Drosophila melanogaster: one gene and its partners. Changing the gene in region 1 together with any one later gene gives a genetic interaction. Each region holds a gene or a part of one and is shown on either strand. Other genes may lie near its edges.

The links.
Region 2: of Egfr (region 1) and tkv, changing one suppresses a phenotype caused by changing the other (phenotypic suppression), as found in Drosophila melanogaster (2 studies listed by BioGRID).
Region 3: of Egfr (region 1) and cora, changing one suppresses a phenotype caused by changing the other (phenotypic suppression), as found in Drosophila melanogaster (2 studies listed by BioGRID).

Annotation. Positions count from the first base shown.
Region 1 is NT_033778.4:21,544,774-21,549,671, forward strand, and holds the start of Egfr (epidermal growth factor receptor), read left to right. Parts: upstream 1-1,869; 5' UTR 1,870-2,817; coding exon 2,818-3,118; intron 3,119-4,898. UniProt on the Drosophila melanogaster protein: Receptor tyrosine kinase, binding ligands of the EGF family and activating several signaling cascades to convert extracellular cues into appropriate cellular responses. Known ligands include spitz, gurken, vein and giant-lens.
Region 2 is NT_033779.5:5,241,084-5,245,879, forward strand, and holds the start of tkv (thickveins), read right to left. Parts: upstream 3,057-4,796; 5' UTR 2,993-3,056; coding exon 2,899-2,992; exon of another isoform or gene 1,616-2,898; intron 1,538-1,615; exon of another isoform or gene 1,136-1,537; intron 424-1,135; coding exon 286-423; intron 95-285; exon of another isoform or gene 23-94; intron 1-22.
Region 3 is NT_033778.4:19,227,552-19,232,118, reverse strand, and holds the start of cora (coracle), read right to left. Parts: upstream 3,057-4,567; 5' UTR 3,005-3,056; intron 2,696-3,004; 5' UTR 2,466-2,695; intron 1-2,465. Other genes in the region: CG7137 (uncharacterized protein), read right to left, coding at 3,637-4,567. UniProt on the Drosophila melanogaster protein: An integral component of the septate junction. May play a role in cell-cell interactions that are necessary for proper development. Vital for embryonic development.

The DNA.
Region 1 (4,898 bases):
GGAATCTCAGAATCTCGGCATCTTACACCTCTCGAGCGGCGTTTACCTGTGGTTCGTACTGGCGGAGTTGGTGGAGTGCCCTGAAGTGGTTTCAGAGTTCTGAGTTCTAAGATCGTTCTCAACTCGATGTTCGGCTGTCAGTTGCATGCTCTTCGATTTTGACAGATGATTCCGTACGGTTTGGGCAGTGTACCTTTTGATTGAGGTCTTCTGGCTTGGGACAGACGGCTATTAATATGTTTGATTATGGCTGCAGACCGGAGCATGGCGCTTTTACCCCATCGTGGAAATCTGTGGAAATGCTTTTCAATTTAAATGTATTTTCATGCTCTGAAACAAAGCGCCGAGCAAGACAATGCAACGCCTCTCGAGAGTCACAGCGTGGGATTCGAGATTCAAATGTGGACCGAGGAGTTAGTTGCGCTTTTCCAAGTGCACCTTTTGTATTTCTGTTATGGCAAAGTGAAAAAGGTCAAAACGCTTCGGATTTACCTGCCGAAACAGTGTCCTTTTGGCCCGATCCCGCAGAGCACATGGCGCAGGCGTAAAAACCCCGATTTCTTGTGGGCTGGGAACAGGTGAAGAAGAGGCCAACGAGATCTCGGTCTTGGATCTGCCCTAACAATGTTGACAACGCTCGTACAAAAATCTTTTTGCCAAAAGACAATCCATGGCCCACGCAGGCTCGGCTCACAGACACAGATGCAGATGCGGGCACAGTTACACACACAAACACACACAGATACAGATACAATTGCCGAGATCTTTTGTGCTTATATGGCAGCATTGCCCACACATACCCATGTATATACAGCCAGGTGAGAGAGCGGCGATCGCTTTACCTGAACGCTCTCAAATTCGCCGCAACAACAGAACCTCCAACAACAACAACAACAACAGCAGCAGTGTCAAGAAATTGGGATATACACAAGATCTTACCTGGGAACGACCTGCAATCGATGCGAATCTTAAATGCCCTGCACAGCTGTCGGAGTTAAGATGCTGTCGGATAATCCCCGCATTGGTTTTTTTGCTCTTGTCTTTGCTATTGGGCATTTTGGGGGGAGGGGAAAATCAGGACATTGTTGCTCAAGTACTTTCCTTTGTTGGAAAACTCGTCTCTGCAGTTGAAAAGGCTATTTATGGCGCCTTCTTAATCCTACCTAAACTTTGCTATCTTAAAACTGAGGTTGTTGCGTATAAATGCTTCTTAACTTTTTTAACATAAATCCCGTGTGTATATTATTTATACACGCCCTGTATATCGAGCAACATATTTTGTGCAAAAAGATTGTCCTTCTTTGGTATCCACTCTTCAAGCTTGGGATACTTAACCGCTCTGAGCCATGTACTCTATGTTAAGATTGTTAGTTGAAGTTATGTTCTGCGAACTTAAGATCTCTAGTTGGTGTTTCCGTTCATTTGAGATGGCGCTAAATTCGATTCTGTGCATTAGGGCCAACGTTTAGCATTTTCCCATGATATGTAGAGCATTTGCTGGTCTGGGGGAAGATTGCCCAATGTATCTGGCCGTATCGTTTCGTATTACGCTGACTTTTTAAAATGCTGCTGCTACGTTTACGATTACCTGTGGATTGTGGATGGAGATGGTCCGCTGGCGGTGCGAGTGGGAACGCTGCACTGAGCGAGCGAGAGGTGGCGACAGCGGTGCGCAGCTGTGCCGTAGTTGTTGCTGTATCGCTGGCTTTGCTTTTATTTTGACCTGATCTGAGCTCGAGATTTCGCCGTTCACCTTTATTTTTACCTGTGCGCGCTCTTTTCGCCGCAATCGAGAGTAAGAAACACGGCGAGAGAGTGAGAGAGAGAGACAGAGAGGGAGCAGCGCCTTTTGGCTGCGGCTTTGGCCTCAGTCTCGAATACAACTTGTTGCTGCGCGGACGCGAATCGCTCAGTACGGACGTCTTGAGCTCGAATCCTCGGCCATATCTGTGCTCTCGATCGCAGCGTTTGCTAATTCGAAGATCGTGCTAATCGAAGTACCGAGAAATCACAGTTCGCAAAACGACCAAAACCAAAGCCAAAAACGGGGTGTAAGCCAAGTGCCTTTGGCCTATACTATACTACTAAGCGTATTTTTGTGAATACCCTGCTAATTGGCAGCCGCGGCTGTGGCGGTTGTGGCTCAGTTCGAATGATGGCCAAGTGTGTGTGTTTTGTGCAAGTTAACCGCTGCGGGGGCAACACAACAATTGCTTAGGGCAATCAATTAAAGCTGAAAGCTAAGAGCTGCGCCTGCGCACGCCTCTCTAACCTCAAAAATCGTTGGCGAACTCAAAAAAGAAGCTGAAAAATACATCTGAAAAATAACAAAAATTTTATTTTTTACATACACTCATATATATATATATATATATATGAAAGCCTTCGGACGACTCTTGTGGCTCGTAATGTGAAACTGGTTCCTACACTCACGCACACACTCACTCACTGGCGCGTTCAAAAGACCCACTCGAAAACACACACTCACTCTCACGCGCATACACAGTGAAATGTAAACACCAATACAGTGGCAAATTGCAACGACAACAGCTTAAATTCAAAACAACAACAACAACAACAGCAACCGCAGCAAACGCAGTGAAAGAGTCGAAATCAAATTTATGAAAAGCTGTATTTTTGGCACGCAAAGCTGAGTGAGCAAAAAGCCGAAAGTAAACCGCAAGTTCAAGAAAAAGAAACGAATAAAAAATAACCCCTATGACGTCAGGGGTTATAGCTTGGAAGAGGGCTTGATTCATCCCACCAGTAACGCCCACAAAAAGCACCAACCACCAAACCACCCACCGCCCCGCAACAATGCTGCTGCGACGGCGCAACGGCCCCTGCCCCTTCCCCCTGCTGCTCCTGCTCCTGGCCCACTGCATTTGCATTTGGCCCGCGTCGGCGGCCCGCGATCGCTACGCCCGCCAGAACAATCGCCAGCGCCATCAGGATATAGATCGCGATCGGGATCGAGATCGATTCCTATACCGCAGCAGTTCGGCCCAAAATCGACAGAGGGGCGGGGCCAACTTCGCCCTGGGACTGGGAGCCAACGGAGTCACCATTCCCACCAGTCTGGAGGATAAGAACAAGAACGAGTTCGTCAAGGGGAAAAGTAAGTGCACCGCAAGGATCTATCCATCTTCCTCAAGCCGCCCATCATCTATCAAAATGTGTTTATGTAGATCATCTGGCTGACTGACTGGCTGCCCATATATCAAAAGAGCCAAGTCGTCCCGAATTTGGCCACCGTATCAGTTGGTCTCTAGAGTTTCCACCGTTTTCAGGTGTTTTTTTTTTTATTGTAGTTTCGTGCCAGCGATATGCTGTCGTTTATCTTATCGCTGTGATGTTTTTTTTTTATTTTTCCCCTGTACTGCACTTTAAATATAGCTTCGTTTTCGGCTGCATTTCGTATTATTTGGTCTTATCGTTACCCTGGGAATATCAATTATCGAGGGGTAGCTGCAAAGTGTGCAATATTACAAATATTTTACTAAGCTCATAGATTAAAAAACACTTGCAATAGTGTGTGAATTCGTAGTATTTTAAGTAATATAAGCTTACTTAACATTTATGTGTCTGGAATATGGACTTTGAATGATATTTCCCAATATCACGTATACGCCAGGGTATCCCCTAGTCCAGAGTGAATGCTCCCTCCATTTAATACCTGCCCTTCGCGACGGTCTCACCTGCCCTGTGGCTCACCTCTTGACTTGGCGCTGGCTTAGTCAAAGAGTCTTGTGTGCACTATCGCCCCTGTTTCGAGTTACCCCCACACCTAGCCATCAGATATCACGGCAAACATACCAGAATACCAGAACGCACTGATTAGCCAAGCACTGAGCACTGTGCTGTGCATTTCGTAATGTCAAATGTACAAGGTAAAGCGTAGTAGTTAGTTAGTGTTAAGACCGCCCGATTTTTCCACTCTGCCACTTTTCCCGCCGTCTGCGTGCCCTTTTCTGTGCATCAGCAGCAATTGCAATTGCAACAGCAAAAGCAACAGTAAGAGCAATAGGGCAACTGCAACTAGCGACACAATTTCCAGCTAAAATGGCGACTCAATTTGTTGACTCTGCAGTTCTCGAGGTTTTCTTTGTGGGCTCTTTGTTTCTTACCCGTTGGAAAATAAATTAATACACAAAATTTGGTATTCGCATATTGGAAGTTTTGGCTGCTTGGCTGGCTGGCTGTATGTTTGGGTAACCATTTGGCCACAATTTAATGAACTCCATGGCGTATCTGGCGGTGTCTGTTTGCACAGTACTTTGAGGCAAATGTTTGTATTCGGCGGGCAAACAGAAAAGTAAAAATTAAATGGGAGGCGAATAAAAGCGGGCCGTCGATACCAAGTACTCAGTGATCTTGTAGCTGCAAATTAATAACTGAATGTGCGCATTGTGCGCCAGCAACTGTGCAAATATTGATAGGAAAACGAAAACTTTGGCTACGCAGTCTATGCTAATGGGAGACGGGAGACCACCACCGCATAGCCGGATATGTGGATGTGGTATGTATGTATGTATGTATGGCTAGATAAGCGAGTTATGAAACCGATAAAGATGCCAGAACCTTAAAAAGCGATATTACCCTTTTTTTTCGCACAGACGATCGCTGCTGTCACAATGCCCTTTTCGCAGAAATTGTTCGAGTTATTTGCTCTGGCTTACTGTTTCGCTGTTTTCTTTATGACCATAAAAATAAGCACAGCTGCGGCATGTATGCAAATAAATGCTAGAGAAAAGCCTGCACGTGCATTCGAATCGAAACCGTTAAAAAAATCGTTGGGGGTAGGAAACTCGAACAACTGGCAATTGTTGTTGACGTCTTTATAGTTCAAAACGCTACACTCGCTGGCAAAAAATCACCTTTTAATTGTTCATTCAGGC
Region 2 (4,796 bases), on another chromosome or scaffold:
AAAAAAAAAATTATTTACACATCTCCCCGACGGGGAATTGAACCCCGGTCTCCCGCGTGACAGGCGGGGATACTAACCACTATACTATCGAGGATGTTGAACTTAGGTCGCCAAATTCAAAATATAAACTTGCTGTTGATCTATACATCCGAGTGTTATGATCATAAGTTATATTAATCCGAACTAATATTATATATAAGATAAAATAAGATAAGATATGCAAAATATTCGATGCTGATTTATAACACGCTTTTTTAAATCATTTTATTAAGATGGTAGACTCACCATTTTCCACGGTCTTGCTTTTCTCGTTGTCGGCATCCTCATATCCCTCTGATCCTGGTCCAGATCCCATTTCCATGCCACTCAAAGCGGCGGCGGCCATAGCTTCGACGTCTGGCTGAACATTCGCACTGAATTCACCTACGGGGCAAACAGAAAAACGGGCAATACGAAATATAAGTAAATTGAAAAACTGTGTAACTAATTTGTAAACAAAAAAAGGGAGAGCGGGTGGGAGTCTTGGCACTTGAGTTGCTCTTCTGTGGCGCCAGGCAAATGTCAATTAATAATTTAACAACAACAATTGCCCGTTTGTCGGGCGCCTGAAATACGAGATCTTAATTGAAAATAGAAACACATAGGGGCGATGGAGAGGAAAAGGGGAGTCGCACCAACGGAGAATGGGCAACTTCAACTCTCTTCCTGCTGAAAGCGGATGAGCGTGGGCCAACTAGACAGCTAAACGTGTGTCATAAACTTGGTCAAAAGGCCGCAGAATTTAGTGCCTCTCCGCAGACGGCTGCGTTCAGAACCAGTTGCCAGCCAAGTAGTCGGAGAGGCATCTTTAAGATACTGTTTGACAGCTCGCCGAGATTACGTCTAGTTCTGTCGTCTGCACGCCACAGACTTGGAGGATGACGTTCCTCGACGGCTCAAAGCCCACGCAATGAGCGCGACTTGAAGACCAAGAAATCCCCCTTTCTCGAGATACAAAACCGAGGTGCAAAAACCCCACTGTGCAACTTTCAGTGCAAATCAGCGGAAGCGACTCAGACCCAATCTCAGCGAAAGGGGTTAGGCCTCCTGCAGGGGTTTCTGTGTGCTACACTACCCATGTTTCCCCTACACTCACTTTGCCAAAATTAATGAGCAAACTTCATACGTAATTTGATAAACAGAAAAAGTGGTTGGCGCTCATTGGGGTCTTATCAAAACATTAGTTATTATTTATGATGCGTCTCATTTCGAGAGCTGGTATAATATATGTGTGCCACTCGACGGGCAATTGAAATCTCGTACGCGTGTTGGGTGGGCGAGGAAAGTCGCTATTCCATTCCGAATCTGTCAAAATGATAAAATGAATTATGCGAGTGCAGGTCCGATAAAAAGCTGCCATTCATGGAAAATCGGCGGCAATTGCGGAGCGCGAGCAAAGGATAATCTTAATTACGACCATAGAAAGTCGTAAATTAATGGAACTCAATAAAACTTTAGCGTAACATGAGTGGTGTAAATTATGGGAAACCGCTATACACAGTAATAAAAACATTATTAATAAAAAAAAAGTTCAATGATATCGATAGGGGGTTTGCGATATTTTTTAGTTTTGCAACACTTAAGAAGCAATATAATATTTGTTAGCTGAAAGTGCCTTGCTAAAATTTGACTTTCTAACTCCTCTTAGTTTCGAATATTTTCCAGTGCAACCACGAAGTTAACCGAAGCATTGATAAAGCCCATGTCTATGGCTATCGACTATCGCTAATTGATTGAGTGCCTTGCACTTGTCGACTCGAAACCCGCAGACCAAACGACGTAATTCCCCCGACGCGTCTAATATTTTCGCCACTTTGGTGTTGTGTTGTGTTGTGCCTTACACTCTCTGGCAGTTACATAAGCCATCTATCAAAGATTGCAAATTGCTGGGTGGAAAACTCGCGGCTCTTGTGTTCGACACATTTCCAAGAACTCAAAAGCAAAACAAAACACAAACGTGACAATCCATGTGGGTGCAGCCAAAGAACTGCGACCAGGGGAACTGATTTCGTATGGGCAGAACATGGCGACAATAAGCAAAACCCAGGCACAAAGTGGAGCACGTGCAAATTGGCTATCAATCAATATGCATACGGGTAGGAAAATGTACTGCGATGATATAGTTCGCATCGCTTCAAAAGATTCGCAATTACGTAGAAATAAAAGCAAATGCCGACTGCATGGCAAACGAATTGAATGGCTCCCAGCCAAATGGCAAAAATGTTAGGCCTCTATGACACTAGGTCGAAAACATAGTAGGCTATTCTAATGTAAATTCAAACACTTCCATATAGTAACATATTTTTTAATAACATAAAATGAAGAAAATTGATGAACAGAAGCAGCGCAGTCAAAGGATGAGCTAAAGATGCCAGCTTGCAGGAACACCATGAGCAGTCAGGAGCGCACGCAGAACATCAAGCGCTAGATAATGGAGGATGAATTGACCTTGTGCGAGGTCAATACCCTTTCAATCGATTATGAGGCGGCCGGCAAATGACAGTTTAACAGCCGCCACGGAACTAGCTGATCAATCCATTATTGACGATGTTTTTGGAGAAGACATCCTGATGAAAGACTTGCAGCGTAAGAACACCGTGCAGCCCACTTGCTCAACAACGACATCGTATCTTGTCCCATTTGCTTTGAGAAAATGAAGCGCGGTACCATTATGGTGTGCTTGGAACCGCCATCGTTTACTTCAAAGGACTTGGACACCCGTTTCTCCTCCTCGGGATCTTCCACATCACGCTGCACCAAATCGAAATCAAATTCATCAAAGCGAATTCTTCGCAGCTCCGGTTACACAGAGCTGAACAGCAACTCGACTACTCTGCTGTCCAGCGAGGACGAACTTACTCCGCGTCAGCGCCTCTAGTGCAATCTCTTCAAACAGACCGTCGGCTGTCCCAGATGTGGCCTGGAGTTCAAGGGCCACCAGCTGAAGGCGCATCAATCTCTCTGCCAGGGTCGCAAGAAGCACTAGGACGGCACCTTATACGAACCATACATTAAATAAGTTTTTCACAATTTTTCACACAGTAAATTTTCTTCATGTTATCAAAAGTGTGTTACAAGCAAAATATATAAAACAACTGATTGTAAAGTCAAGGCATGCTTATGTATCTAAAATATTGCTTGTTTAAATTTCAAGTCGATTGGTGTCATAAACGCATCTCTCAGATGGTCAGTGAGTGAAAATCAATTGGGTGTGGTCTGGGTAACTGGGCTTTTCAGCGGTTTGCCTGCTCATTGAACCTTGTCCAACTACAAAATGCTTCAAGTACTGCTACATTTACTGCAAAAATGGCCTAAAAATCGCCTTTCAAGTTGCACTTACAGTGGCCCAAAGAAAAACGCGGCCAACATTGTTGCCTGAGATAAGAAAACTTGGCTGGCGAGAGGAAAAACACACAATGAATAATGAATGGCGAATGTACGCCAGATAAACCCACATTGCATTTGTTGTGGGTTCGGGTTCATATTTTCATATTCATATTAAGTGACTGATTGATTGATGGCCCAGGCAACTTGGAGGTTTACTTTCAGTTTATCGTTCGGTAAGTCACACGTTTCTTTCCAAATCGCTCGTGGTTGGGATGTCAACTTGGAGATTGATGGCAGAATGGGGAAGAAAACCCCAAGGCAATCAAAAGTGAAGTAAAATAGGAGTTACGATAGCCAAAATGGGCAATTAGCAAAGTGGGGGTGCGTTTAAAGTTGTGTTTAGCGAAAGTGAATCACATTTCCTACATGTAATACCATGTTTTTGCTGTTTTATAAGATGCTTATGCATGAAGATGGCTAAAAATAGTATGTGTCACACACATTAATTAGAGTAAAACTGTATATTTCGTAACATAAAAATGCTATCTAGAGATTAGTGCTCCCTCCTTTTCACCACCATTAGAAATCCCCTAACCCAGTCGAGATTCTGGCCAGCAAAGATGTTTTGAAACTGGGTCGTCGCCGCTGAGTGCGCGCACTCTAGTAGCAATTAAAAATTTTAAATATTCCTTCTGCTGAACAGAATTTAGCAAACTTGCATTGGCCACTCAAAAATAGATCAAAGTGAAATTTATGTTACAGATTTTGGGTTTTTTTTTTTCTGGGTGGGGAAAACCAGGCGAACGGCGGATGCGAGAGTGGGACGATAGGGCCAAAAATAAATTCCCCGATGCAGCCATTTGGAGTTGGATTCTGTCCATCAACGCGCCGAGTCCATGCTAAATGAGCTGCACCCCCCGCCAGTCCGATGCATCGGCGTGTGAACATTAGTCAAAAATGCGTAAATGAAATCAATTAAAATTACGCATAGCACACGAGACGCATTCGGAATGGAAATCGATGTGTGTTTACACATTCTGCCTACGCGCTCTGCATGGCCTAATGAAGGCACGTCCCCATGCCATACCATCCTATACCACTCCGTCCATACAATCCCATCCAATTCGATCCCCAGGGAATTGGGTATGGGGAATGGTCGAGGGTAAGGGTTGAACCCGAGTGCAATTGGTAATGGCCAACACAAGAAGAAGAGCGGCGGAGCAGGGGATCACTGAGTGCCACTTCAATTTGTTTACAACAAGTTGGCCCGCTGATTGCAGCTGGGCCTCATTTCATACACACTTTAAAAAATCAATTTTCGACTTGCATTTAACGTGCCATATGCACTTGTTTTATATGATGGAACTTCCCTACCACTTATACAATTCCATAATAATTTCTCGCAGTGCATCATTTTCTGCTTAATCATA
Region 3 (4,567 bases), 2.3 Mb from region 1:
TCATTTTAGATGTTGTATCCGTATGCAAGTCTTTTTAAAATAATATATATAATATAGAAAAGGGTTGAAACAATTTTTTGGTTTAAGGAACATAACTATTTTATTTAGTAGAACAGAATAAGTGGTTTTAGGTTAATATTTTTCACTGTGTTGGTATGCCGCACCCACATGCACATCGCGTTTTGATTTCTGCCCAGAAGGTGAGGGAAAAAGTGTCGCGAAGGGCGGAGAAAGTAAACAAACGAACCGCCCTCGAGGAGAATTTTGTCCACTTCAGCGCTTTGCACATTAATCATAGACCTATAGACGCCCCATCCGCACAAGTAAAAATCGATGCGACAAGGAATAAAAATAGAAAACGGAAAATCGAATGGGCATTTAGGAGGAGCGCAAGAGGGAAACTGATTGGCTAAAAAGGGGGCTGGAAAAGCTGCCTTCCATCCGATTAAGTTTGTTGAAAGATTAGATTGGTTTTTCACCTCGCTGAAGGAGGGTGGAAATCTTCCGGTGAACTAAGAATAGCTAGCGATTCTAAAGAGGATTCATAAAGATGAAGATATTAAGTGCTACACATAGTAGGTGAGATCCCCAATCTTAACAACGATCTGGCCACGCTGGAAAATCGCTGGTTGGGGCTTAGTCTCCGTTTTCCGACGAGAGAATCCGAGAGAATACGGAGAGACGCGCTCTGGGAGCTTCTAACGCTGGAAGACACACCTAGTTGGTAACGCTCGAATTCGGAGTCGTGTTCGAATTCAGGTTTTCGAGGGGGCTCTGATTCCGACTCATTTTGTTTTTTTTTTAGCCATGTTCATTCGCGTGCTGCCAAGTCGTTAGCCCTCCGAAACTCTCTCACTCTCCAGATTTTTGTAGTATAGTTTTCCACTCGCTGGTTGTACAGTTATTGGCATTCAGTTGGCTGGCACTCCTCGTTTGCTTTGCTCGGCTGCTTTATCTGTTTGTCTGCTGTGCAGCCAACTTCTTGGCCAGCAACAACCGGTTTTTTTTATTTCTTTCTTTTCTAATGCAAGCTCAACCTCATGTTAGCCAGTTCGTTTCCATTCCCACTTTGCATGGCCTGGCCAAGAAGACGAAGTCTACATGTTAATGTTTCTTACTATTTGGGTCAAAGCCCACACCTCCCGGAAAAGGTGGAAGAAAAAAGACTTCACGTAAACAGCGGTTTTCGAAGAACGGTTTTTTGGTTGCCAAGTCAACGCCCCAGGTTTTCCGGGGATGGTGAAAATCGTGCCGTGACTCAGTGGATGGGGGATGAGGGGACACCTAAAATATCGCCACCAGTCACCTGCCATTCATAACTGGCCTTTGTTGTGGTGGCCTTATCTTATCTTAGCCATGTTTCCTAGTGGCTGGGATAAAGACCGACGTTGTTTACCCCAGCCGATATCAAACATATGAAAAATGCCAATGCAAAAAGCGCTCAATGTTGTGATAAGAAATGTGGAAACCTGCTCGCAAACCCAATGGATTCTATTTTGGGAACAGTGACGTCTTGATGCTTGGGGAATTTAGCCGCCATATGAAACTATTATATATGCCATATGAATGCGACGAAATTCCAAAATTATATTTAAGCGAGAGAAGGAAATGAAAGGAATCGGTTTCATAAAGTGCGCAGTTCTAGGAATTTTGATTTTTCGGTTGGTAGTTGGCCTTCTTTAAAATATAAATTCAAAGTATAAATTCTACTCAATTGATATTTACACTTAAGAAGTTTTCTATTCATAATCATCATTATGAATAACCTTTTCAATTTGCGTAGAATTCAAAAGTGATTGTATGCCTTTCCACATGCGTATCTTTGAGATACATATACATACATACGTTGTAGTTTTACCGATACTGAGTAGGTTTTATAAAGATATAAAGTATTTGCCCCCTTTTTTAAAGTTCACTGCTAAACGAAACTACCTTTGAGATACATTTGTATCCGATCGGTGTTGTGGAACGTTTCCTTGACTACCGCGGGCCCAATAAGAATTTCCCACCCTGCGCCCCGAAATGCGAAGCAAACGAGGAAAACACAGAAGAAGGAAAATTGGAGTAAGGCAAAGACAGAGGCAAAATCAAAAGAGAGCTGGCGACAACAACAATGTGGGCCGAGTTGACAAAAACAAGAAGTCGAAAGAATAAGAATATCGTGCCAAAAGATACACTCGAAAAGCTTGACAGCTCACAGATACAGATACGCAGATACAAATGCCGCGTGAGTGAGTCGAGCTCTCTTTTCGCTCCCGCTCGCAAAGCTGCTCTCAATTAACTCTGCTTTCGGGTGTGTGTGTGTGTGTGTGGTGTGTGCTATGAAGTCATACTGCCCAAGTCATTCTGCGCTTGTGTTGGTATCGAAAACATAAGCCACCAAAAACTCCCGACCACAGCCCAAAAGAAAAAAACTTGAATAAAAATGTAATTAACCTATGTCGCAATCCCCAAATTGTACTCACCCTTTTAAGACGCCTCTAGAATCCTTTTTAATCCACAGCAAGGACACGCAGTTACCGTTAGTTTGGCGGTTGGCTGATTTTTACTCCTGTATTTGTGTTGTTTTCACTTTTCTCCCGTGGGCACTGCACTCACTCGCTTTCACACTAGTAAACAAATTCTTTGCCACTTTTTTCTATTCGTTCGCGAAAAAAGACAATTTGTTGTTGTCGTCGTCGTCGTCGTTGAATACCTGTTGAAAATTTGACGTTGAGTTTCTTTGAGTGAGTAATAGAGAACGCAAGAGTGGGAGTTGAAGGGGTGTGTGTGCTGTGAGGGGGGTTGGGCTCAGGGGTATAATAGAGAGCGGGGTGGGCGTGGGCGGAAAATGCGCGAATAGTGGTTGCTAATAAATTAATTTCCCATTTTATTTATAAACACACTGCTGCCGAATTGCGCGCTTTTCTTTTCTATCCGCTCGTCGCCGTTTTGCAATTACTTTGCTGCTGGCCAAACAACAAATCTTCTCACAATTCTGGCAGCGCGATCACACAAAACGTACCGTCTTCACAAATATTCGATGTGCTGTGCACGAAGAGCAAACTGGTACTGAAACCGAAAACTGAAACTGAGAGCCATCCGCTTGCCGCTGCTCGATTTGGATTTGAGTCGATTTCAGTTGAGACCACTGAGTTTTGCTGAGAAACCACCACCGAGTGGTTGCAGTGCTGGCAAATGCCGTTGGTTCATCTGAGTGCTTCGGTTTGCTTTTCAAATGTTTATAGCAATAGCGCTGTTTGATATCGCTACAAAATGTATATAAATCTATGTTTTCTTAATAAATGTATGGTCCGATTTCAATCGTTAAATTTTTTAAAAATTATATGACCTCTAATGGAAATTCGAGTGATTTTTTATCTTTTATACATTTTTGTCGCATATATCAAGGCGCTATGTATTCGACATACATTTTTAATCTGTGCCCTTTTTTGTTGCTAAATTATCGCGCCTTATTATCAATTTGTATATTTTCGACCGAATAATAAGAGATCAAAACACATTTGTAAGAATTCCAAATTTATTGCGGTTTCTCCTACATAAAATTAATGTAACTATCTATAATTGCATTCGCTGTCTTGGTTTCTTTAACAGTTCGCAAAGTCGGAAATCTACTAATCTGAATAGGATAACATCCTATCGCTTGCGATATAAGCAAGGTTTGAGAGAGAAAGCTTTCATCTTGGTGTTCTTGGGCACATGACGCATCTTCTTGAATTGGAAGAAGTAGAAATAGTTAACAGCCACATCCTTCTTGTTAAGATCGAATCCACATGCATTGAGGCAACGCACAAACTCCCGCACATCCTGGAATCGCGACTGAATCTCCGCGATATAGACAGTGCCGTGCAGCTTGAGCACTCGATTGGCCTCCAGGAAGAACTCGTTCAGATCCGTGCCCATTAGTGAGAGGCAGTATACGGCCACGTCCAGAGTTCGAGCTTGGAGTGGAGTATCCGTGATGTTGCAGGCAATGATGTCGCTACGAGCAGCGACCAAGTCCATGGAGTACACCTTGTTGGGCACGGATTGTGCCAATTTGCCCTCGCCGCAACCAAAGTCGCCAATTATGGCTGTTTTGGGAATCTTCTTGATGGTCTTGATGATGCGATTAAGCGGATTGATGGGCCACTTCTCCACCTGCTGGCGGTAGCCAGCGTGATAGGCCTCGAAGGCGGAGCTATCCTTGCGGAAAAGTGCCTCCGCCTTGCGACTGGTCGTCGAGTAGAGCTGCTCGTTGATGTATCGGAAACGTCCGCCCAGGAGTTCCGATTGCAGCTTACTGGCCAACGAGTTTGCAGCCGGCGTGGTTGAGCTGGTGGCCTCCATGGCCTCCAAAGCCGCCTGGGCCAGTTCGGGTTTCAGTTTCAGTTCTTTTTTGCCACCTTTTGTGGCCTGCGTTGGTGGTCGCTGTTTCTCTATTCTTCCGGACTTCACCTTGTGCATGGCCCGGATGCCATCCTCCACATCTTCGTAGTCATCATCCGAGGAGTCTTGGGGCGGGGCAAGAGGTCCTCTGCCCTGCCGGTAAGTGAATTTTTCAGCTGCCTTGTTCACATTCAGATTT